2 linked regions of the Schizosaccharomyces pombe genome follow. The gene in region 1 interacts genetically with each later gene. Each region holds a gene or a part of one and is shown on either strand. Other genes may lie near its edges. The genes, in order: ptr2 and isp4.

Region 1 (5,262 bases):
AGTTTTTAAATGGAGTCTTCGTTTATATGTATTTCCAATCATTTATTGCAGAAAAGAGTACATCTGTTGCTGATTTATTGGATACAGCAGTTTATAGCCTCACGACCACTCAGCAAGTGCAACTTGTTGAAGATTTACAAAACTATCTCATCAGTCATGGCAAAACTAGTGTTCAAGCTATTTGTTCCAAACTTCTTCAAAACTCAAAATAGCTTACACTTTGTTATCCTCGTATTTGTTTACTAGCCAGTCTTTTATATTATTAAATGCGTTGTCATGTATAGTTTGACTTCCGTTTGTTAGTCATTCGTTATTGCTTGGAAGTTTTGATATCCCATGTCTAATTTTTAGTCAACTCCAAACTAGATCTAGTCGTTCGTTTGCTTTATATAATTTTCAGTTTTTCACCTTAAAAATTTTGTTTGACATTTTCCGAATTAGTTTTCATCAAAAACTTTTGTCATCAGGTTGGTTAAGTGAGCTAGCTTAATTCGCAAACGCTTAGAAAAGTTGATTATTGGACTAATCTCACGTCGGTTCTACTAAAAAACAGTTTCTTGTCTCAACACATACAGTTTTGTTTACCGCTAAAGAATTTCTTATTTTCAACATATTTGATACTTTCTTTAATATTTTAAATTATGCACAGCAATATATATTTTCATTAAATCACACTGTAGTAAATTCTGGTATATAGACCCACTGTAAAACTCTATTTTCTGAGAGTGGATAAGTACTACTGCATTTAAATAAGGAGCATCAGTAGAACAACGGCATCATAACAAAAAAAAAGATGGAAACAAAACATGCAAACCCCAATTTTTTGGGAAATTTTGTAAAAAAAAAAAGAAAAGAAAAATTGGCATCCCGCAAATACGAATTAAGTTAAATTAAGTATTATGTGCTTTTCATGATTTCCTCTTCAGCAGTTGCTTTTTCCAAATTGTATTGGGACTCATCTGCCATGCTATAACTATCATGAACTTCCTTTTCAACGTCCTTCTTCGTTAACGCATCATTACGCTTGAACTCAAGTTGATTTTGTTCATCTTCCATAGCATCATAGTGGTGGAAGCAAACCCAAAACATAATACCAGCAATAAAGGCAGTGACGGCAATACCAGTGTACATCCAAGTAAGCTTAGGATTGACAGCAGTAGAAGAAATGCAAATAGATAGAATGGCACCGAATGCATTGGTGAACAAGAACAAAGCAGTAATAATGGATTTCATTGAAGGAGGGGCCTTGGTAAATGCAAATTCTAAACCAGTAATACTGGCAAAAATTTCAGAGAAAGCAATCAAAACGTAAGCAGGGATTTGGATCCAAACACTGATGTCATTGGAAACACATGTATCAGTAAAATTTGCATAGCAAGGGCCTCTTTGATAAATCTTTGCTTGTAAAACAGCAGCGTAAATCATGGAAGCAGTAGCAAACATAAACCCTAAAGTAATACGAAGGATGGGTTTGAAAGGGATGTTATACTTACGCAATAATGGATAGATGATATTGTCACAAATGGGAATGAAAATAATCAAGGCGATTGAATCGAAGGCTTGGAAAAGATCGTTAGAGACATTACCCGTTTGCATTTGTCCAGCTTGAGAAATTAAGTTGTTGGTCATTTGACCATAGCATACCCAATAGATAGGGTAAAAGAGAAAAGTTTTGCAGGCGCGTAAGGCACGTTTCAATTCGTCGATAAACAAGTCATCCCACTGATCCTTGAGCGTAACGCGTCCAACAGTAGTAGTGCAAGATGGTTTAGTTTTTTCGAGATTAAATTTGTTTTGAGCAGCAAGGAAGAACACTTGACCAACACGAACAAAGATGGAACCGGAGGGAGGAGTGTGCTTGTAAAAGCGCTTACTAACAGCCAAAATAATTAAGGGGATAACAAAGACGCACAAGGGAAGCAAGTATGCGTAAACAAAACCTTTAGTACTTTCCAAACTAGTGGTGGCTAATACGGAGAGAGAACCGACGTTAATTGACCAGTAGAAAATCATATAGGCACGAGAGGTGGTGACGACGGGGTCAACAATGACCTTGCTACCATTTTTCTTGGTCTTTACATAAGGAGGAATTTTTGGAAGCTGTTCAGCCATCAAGGGGGAAACATTGGATTTGATACCACCGGTTCCAAGACCAATGATGATCAAAGAGACGACAAACCCACCCATACTTTTTCCGGCATCAATGACAGAAGGAATAGCAGTACATGTAAGAATCAAGATACCAATAAAGTAAATGACAGCAGAGCAAACAATGGTATTGTACCTACCAAGGAATTGATCAGCAATAAGTGCAGCGCCAACCGGGGTGACATAACACCAAAATGTGAAGAAATTAGAAAGACCGTCAGCACCGCTTTCGCCTAAATTAAGGGCACCTGGAGTAGCATCCTTAGGACCGAATTGCATATAATTTTGAAAGGGAACAGTGAGACCATAGTAAGCGAAACGTTCGCAAAGCTCGACAATAATGATAATAAAGGCTTTCCAAGGAATAGTACCGCAAACACGAGGAAGGGTGGCTAATTCTTCTTCGGTAGGAGAAGGGTATAAGTCACCATTGACGAGGACGCCGGTGGACATGGATTTTTGGAGTTCATCGGTGGAGGATTGTTCGTCAGCGGTGTTGATGGTGGCAGAACCATCAGCCTTTTTCTCCTTGCTTAAGTAGGATTGATCTTCTGAAATGATGAAATCGGAGTCCGATTTCGTAATTTGTTCTTCAATGCTACTCATTGTAAACACAGGTAAATTGAATGTAGGAAATCGATCGTATGAAAATCAAAAATAATAATAAAAAAGAGAATGAACAGAAGTTTCAAGAACAATTTTTGGGTATAAAATAATTACAATGAAACGAGAAAACAAAAGAGGCGAATATTAAAAAAAAAAAAAGAGGAAGAGAAAAATAACGTAAACAAGCGAAAGATTAAAAAACAATTGTAGTACAAAAGATAAAAAAAAGAATAGATCAAAAATAATAATAATAATAATTAGTCAAACTAATTACACAAAATTGACAAGTGAATTCACAAAAAAGTTAAAATAAACACTTTTATATGTGTATCGAAGGCCGACTAACTCAACTAAGAGTAAGAAATATGAAAGTGAGTGAGAGTGAGAAAGGGTATTTAAAACAAGATTAAATATACACAACAACAAATAAGTATTTATGACAATAATAATAAAAAAAGAAAAATTTTTAGAATGAAAAAATTTTTCCTTAATGTATTAAATAAATACTTGGAAATTAAAAGTGTATGTATGTGAAAGTGTGGAGAAAGTCACAACTCCAAACAAAAGAGGTCAAACGATTAATTATACGAACGATGAGGAGTTTCCACTCAAGGTTTTTGAATTTCTCTTACTTCTAAAACACAGACTAGACGGCACGACGAAGGATGTCTTTTGAGGGGATAATTTTCAAGTATAAATACTGCTGAAAATGAAATTTGTCCACACTGATTTAGCAGTCACCACGTGTTCATGCACGCCTTTATCAATGACGGTGAGCAAAGCACGATAGGCGATAGACAAATCGTAAATGTAGGAAACGTGGTATGAAAAAGTTTATTATCTTCCCTACAGATAAATCAAAAAAGAGGGAGGACCGGTCTAGACTGCACATTTTTAATAATTAAGGTCAATGCGTGAAAGGTGGGTTTGATGGTTGATTGGATAAATCAAATGTTATTTCGGACAAAAACGTTAGTGCGGAATATCTATTTGATTAAAAATGCACGAGGAGTAACCATATCGCACAACGTGTGACCTGTTGGAAAAAGGGGTGAAAATTGGTAAATCCGCTGGAAATAGATAAGCTTGGATTTCTTCGTGTGATGCCGTTTTTTTCATCTACTCCACTATCATGCGGAAGGATTGCGCACTTGTTCAGTTGCGTGTTTTTGCTTAACGATAGAAAAAACTCGTGTACCTCCATTTAGGACTTTTGTGCCACCACATCGCATGGTTGAAGTGGAAAGTCGTACTTGACCGAAAAAGTGGGGATGAAATTGGGTACCAAGTGGGGTGCATGGAATTAAATGGTCAAGAGCACAACGTGCAGAGCATATGGAAAAAACGAGTAGCACGTTATAGTGCCAAAAATAGAAGTTTCACTACAGGAGTGAGAATGAGAGTGAGGAGAGGTATAGAAAGAATGTGAGACAATATAGTTAGTATATGTGAAAGTGAGAGTAAAAGGTATAAGTGTTACTATATGAGTATGGATGAGGATGAGGGAAAAGGTAGAAAAGAGATGACTGTCTATGTATTGTCATACATATTGTTATTTACAAACACATCCTCTACGTTTCTTATTCTCTCACGACGACATACAGGTGAACGAAGTTTTTCAATAATTTTAGAGGTTTGAGGGTTGAGTTGTATTCATTGCTTACTTGTAGTTTGCTCATTAATAATAATTACATATTTGTTAGATTCTTAATACTTTGCATATTTATTAAATTTATGTAATCGTTTGATGAGTGTTACATTGTTGTTTTTATTTATTTATTTAACCGTTGAATTCATTCCTTCTTCTCGACATCGGCCTTTACACCACGTTCGCGTGTCTCTTCTCTCTTGTTTCCTTCCCCGGGTATTCCGCGATTAGCGCTGGCGATTCACCAAGGTAAAACTATGTATGCGAATGGTGAGTGGTCTGCTGTAGCACGGTGTGTGCACGAGGAAACAAGGTCTTCTCTTTAAGAACCTCGAACCCGGTAAACATCGTGGGTGGCAGAGATAGTAAAAGCGACTAGTTCGCCTACCCCCACATGAATTGTCGCAAAGATGATGAGGGACGACAACAAGTAGGTAAGGTAAAGTAAAGTAAGAAAGGAAGAATAGTGATAGCATTAATAGTAGTGGGTATAACTGTCACGGAAATGAACATATCACACTCCAAAACGGACTTGTTGGTGTATGAGCAATTTTTCGCACCCATTTTCCCTCATTTTGCCAAATGAAACCATAATGCTGCAAGATTGCTGAAAGTATCGGGAAAGCCTAGTAAGAAATGGTCCAACTCGTTATGCAGCGATACCCTACCCTCCGTCAAGCAAACGAGATGGTTGTGTAAGGCGAGGCACAAGACTTCAAAAAGTATGCAAATTAGCAACAGATAGTATACCCTAAATTCCAAACGATATCTTCTATCACAGAATCAGATTTCTTATAGTAAGTTCATGATAACTTTGAAGAAACTTGAGTTTGATAGCATTAGTAAATAAATCCCCAATA
Region 2 (5,080 bases), 1.9 Mb from region 1:
TTAGTAAGAATCAGCAGTGTTTTTAATAACAACTGATTACTGTTTTCCTTTAATGTAAGAAATCAACAAGTCTTAGTGTATTGTGGGAGTATTAATATCGTGAACAGTATATAAATCAAGTTAATGAATAGGTTTGTCATCGGTCATTTACATATCTATTATCATACGAACATGCATTCATAAGATGAAATCAAGTTAAAATTTGCACCTTCACAATATTTACTTTACTTAGTGAGTGTTTGTCGCTACATTGAGGATGTATACAAAAAGTGAAAATGAAATTACTGATGTTCACATTACAAAACGTATATAAAAATGCAAACGTTTGTTTCAATTTAGAACGAACTATTCAATTCTAACAACAATTAATAAAAAATAACAAATTAGAAAGCTTAATAAACATGAGATAAACTTGTTGAACGATTGATTAAACACAAATCTAATCATGCAACGTAAAAAAAAATAGACAACAATCAATCATCCAAAAATATATATTGCATAGATGTTGAATATTCAAACACTAAAAGAAAGTGTAGACATAATTAATTCACGAAGCTTTAGTATACAAATCAATGCTTATAATTTTTATCATTTGTTAAAAGATGGAAAAAAAAAACAAAGAAAAAAATACAGCATTGATTTTACCATTCGGCGGGACCAAAGAATTCACCTGCTGACTCATTGACGAGTTTCCTAACAGCGGCACCTGTAGCATCCAGCGTATTAAAGGCACCATCATTACCCCACCAATCTGGGAAATTAACCATAGGCAACTGTAAGCAAAAGAAAAGTATAATGACCGACAACTGCGTACCAGTATCAAGAGCAGCAGAAAGCGTGAAATTGTATTTCTGCCACCAGTCTGCGAATATCTTCTTCAGATAATAATTGAAGAACAGACCAATTCCAGACCAAGCCAGATAGTTTACAGGAGTAGCTGGGGGAATATAACCAGTACCTCCAAAAATTAGCGGGCCATTCAATTGACCCCACCATTTTTGAGGCCATTTCTTCCATAGAGCCCAGAACAAAATTGTACCCAGCACGCCAGCGAGCCAGAAGTACTGCAATCCCGTATAGGTGTTTTTTCCAGAAAACATTCTCTTGGGACCAATTACACCCCAAATAACGGAAGAATTAAAAAAGACAGTTGCATTAGGACAAGTGTAATTATCAGGTTGATCGGCCTGGCAAACATTATCAATATTACCCAAAGCCCAATCCAATACGCCGATCTGAACAAAGCAAGACCATATGGTGGCAATCATTTGGGTGTAAAACATGATTCTGGGAGGAAGCTTCATGTAATGACCAAACTTCAGATCGGCAGCGAAAGCCAATCCCTGAGTCATTGTAATATAACCGACAGTCTTGAAAATCATCATGGCCAAAGGACGACCAGGATACATATAACCAACGATAAACTCGGTGAATACATTCAAGCCTAGCTGGATGTTGGTTATAGCTTGAACGATGCCAATTGGAATGAACCATACAGCAGAGAAAATGACACCGACAATGATAACCCACCAAGGGGTTTCCGTTTTCCAACCATAAATAGTACCCATCATCATGCCGAAAAAGGCCAAGAAAACACTCAAATACCAATAGAAGGGAACTTCATCATAGGCTTTCATGAGTTTTTCATGGATATCAGGTGCGGGTGGATCGCGTAACCTGTCGTAGATCTCTTTTCCATGGTATAGGATCACGTGGAAAATGACAGAAGTGATGGAAGCGAAGGAAAGGCCAAATGCCAAAGCGTAGGTGGTGGACATGAAAATGGGAGAATAGTTTTGATAGGCATCCAAATCAAACGTAGCATCCTTGGTGAGGATGCGAGTAACGTTATAGCTATTACCAAAGTGATCGATAATACCAGAACTACTGATCGGTAGGTAATCACCATACCACGTGTTGGTAAAGTTAAGGGCTGGAGTGACGATCCAAAAGAATAGAATGACGCCCAAAAGAATGTTCATCAAAGCATCGGCAGGAGCCATGAGGGGGGAAAGAATGTATGCGGAAATTTGATTCCAATCAAAAGTCATGGGAAGGATGGAGATTCCGGTGGATTCACCAAAGATTTGATTTACAGTTGGACTATTAGGACGAATCCAAGTGACCCAAGCAAATAGGGAAAGGGCTTGGAAAATGTAGGAAGGGAACCAATTCCAAATGAATGAAGCAATAAAAACGTACAAAAAGAAACGGAAGGGGGAAATTCTCCAGCCATTGGCAACGGCGTTTCGTAAGTCTTTGCGATGTAAAGTCTTGATCAAGGTGCATTGAACGAGATTCACAGGCCACAACATACTAGCAGGACGGACCAAAAGTCTTCTGGATAAACCAGCCAATCCGTATCCGATAAGTTGAGTGGCCAAAGTCAAACAGATTTCGTAGCCAAAGCCGAAGCGCTGTTTGTAGTGTACACGTTGGGCGAGGATGATATCGGTGGAGTAGGCATTACCAAACGATACACTCGACATAACGACGATGAGAGCATGTTCTTTAACGTTAAAGGGACCAGGCTTAAAATTAAACTTTAAACGTCCAATGCGAAATTCGCGATCGGGGAAAATCAAGTCCCAAATCTGTAATGCTGGGTATGCGAGAAGCTCGGAAATCAAAACACTCAAAGTGACGGTTGGGTTTCGAAGGGAAAAGAACATGTTGACGGCGGCACCAACGGTGGAATAGATGAGACCAATGGTCCACATGCGAATGGTGTTGCATGGCATACTTGGATCATCGGTAGGAGGGACGGCGGCACGAACCTCTGGATAAGGAGAGTCTTCCTCAAACTCGTCAACCGTACTAATTTCACCATGTTCGACATCGAGAAAGGACTTTGTGTCTTTCTTGATGTCTTTGGATAAACTGTCATCGGAATGGCTAACGATGTAATCAGAGATGTCGACGGAGTCGGCCTTTTCCTTTGTAGAGGGGGAGTCATTCATATGCTCCTCGATGGGAGACTCATTGATGGAACCGATCATTATGGGAAGAAGGGAGGAGAATCAAGAGAGAGAGAGAGAGAGAGAGAGAAAAAAAAAAAGTCAAACTTGATTCACCAAAAAAATAAAAAGAAACAAACCAAAAATGGTTGAGAGAGAGAAATACTAGAAAAAGTTTTTGCTTAGTTTTCGAAAGAGAGGAAACAAGATTTTCCAAATAGAATTGACGAGAGACGAAACGAAAATGATGTATTTATGAAACGAAACGAAACGAACAGTGCGATACGATAAAGAAATCACAAAAAAATCACTACGAAACTTCACGGTGATTGAAGAAACGAGCAATGGATGGGATTTGGAAAAAGAGCAAAGTGTTTAATACTTCTTCATCAATAAAATTCGTGAAGGAAGAAAAACACCTTTATGTTTTTATGGAATCAACGTCCACGTATGTAGAGATAAAAATGTATACAAGATGGTTTTTATAGACTGTACAAAAATAGTATAGTCTAGAATAGAATAGTATAGTATAGTATAGTAAAGTAGAGTAGAGTATAGTCTAGTACAGCAACAATAACAATTTAGTTTTTGTTTTTTCTTTAACTTTCCTTTTCTTTTTATGTTACAATGGTTTCCAAACTTTTAGTATCTTGGAGCGGGCGGGGGGATTTAGCTGCCGAAAAACGTGCAAACAATAATCGATGTTAATTTGTTCAACTTTTATTTTGAGTTGACACATGGAGGGATTTTCACCTCTATATATAAAAGGGAAAAAAGGTGCGGCATTTGATTTTTTCCACTCGTAATCAATTCATTGCTCTTTCTTCCTTCCATGATAACCAACCCTTTCGCTCATTGTGTGTGAAATATGAATCAGAGATAAAGTCCTTATTACATAAATGGGATGCAGGAGATGACCAGTCAGTTCTATTCTATCTTGATAAAAGTCGTACTGTTGTCATGAAGGGGTCAGGGGCGGCAAAGCTTGACGATGGAGAGAGAGGAAGAAAGCACAATCGACAAAGTAGAACTGATAAGCAAAGCAAAGCAGAATTGACAAAGCAAAACGGAATTGAAAAAAGCACAGATGATGAGGATTCAAAGGGATGTAAAGCTGAAGAAAAGAAAAGAAAAAAAAAAGAAAAGGAAAAAAAAGAGGATTTGTTTATATTTTCATAATTTTGATTCAATTGATGTGTGTGTGTTTGTATGTAAGTGTAAGTGTAAGTGTATGTATTGTTGTTTTTATTTATATATATTTTTTTATATTTCAATTCATCCCTTTTCTCTTCCTCTCTCTCTCTCTCTCTCTTTCCCATTTTCTCACTCTTTTTCGCTGTCTGGGTTTGCCTGTCTCGATTGCTAAACGGTAACGCGGGATTCTTATCGTTGTACCACCAATGTCAAGCGAAACTGTGGCACATGCGAAAAATTCCATCGGCCAACTCTCTTGAAGTAGCACTCTCGTCAATTCCTTCAACAAATTTCTTCGATAAGGAAAAACGCTATTACACACGTGCAAACACTAACAAACGAATGTTTGTGATGTATGTGCAAAGGGCTTTCTGTTGCCAGCACGACTATCGTAATAAAAAAGGAAATTTTTTTTTCCTTTTTTTTTTTTTTCTTTTTTGTTGTTGTTCTTTCTTGACTAGGAAAGATAGGCGTGCATCAGGTTTAGTATGGAGACGGGAGGTTGACAGCCGACGTTGGGGAAGACAAAACAAAATGAGATGAAACGAAATGAGATGCGATAAACGTAAAAATGGGTAAAGGGCAAGGAGAAGGTCGGGGAGAATGGGAATGGGAGTTGGAATGGGAATGAGAATGAGAACGAACAAAGACAAAGACAGACAAAAATAGTAAAGTTGAATGAAAATAAAATTTGCTAGAATTGCATGGAGTAAAGAGACAATTGTAAAACACAGTGAATGCAGTAGAATAAAATATAATGTGTAGTAGAATACAAATGTTCATGCAGTACGATTTAAATGTTCATGCAATAAAATTTAAACGTCTTTGTCTTTCAGCTTCACGAGTTAACTTTTCATCGGTTAGCGAATGTTTGATTTTGTTTCTTCCTAATGATTATTCCTACGTTTCGATGACTTTGTTTTCTCTCT

The links.
Region 2: mutations in ptr2 (region 1) and isp4 impair growth when combined (synthetic growth defect), as found in Schizosaccharomyces pombe (one study listed by BioGRID).

What each region holds. Positions count from the first base shown.
Region 1 is NC_003423.3:3,404,939-3,410,200, forward strand, and holds ptr2 (PTR family peptide transporter), read right to left. Parts: upstream 3,422-5,262; 5' UTR 2,755-3,421; coding exon 898-2,754; 3' UTR 637-897; downstream 1-636. Other genes in the region: bbl1 (phosphatidate cytidylyltransferase), read left to right, coding at 1-212. UniProt on the Schizosaccharomyces pombe protein: Uptake of small peptides.
Region 2 is NC_003423.3:1,549,793-1,554,872, forward strand, and holds isp4 (plasma membrane OPT oligopeptide transmembrane transporter family Isp4), read right to left. Parts: upstream 3,000-5,080; coding exon 642-2,999; 3' UTR 501-641; downstream 1-500.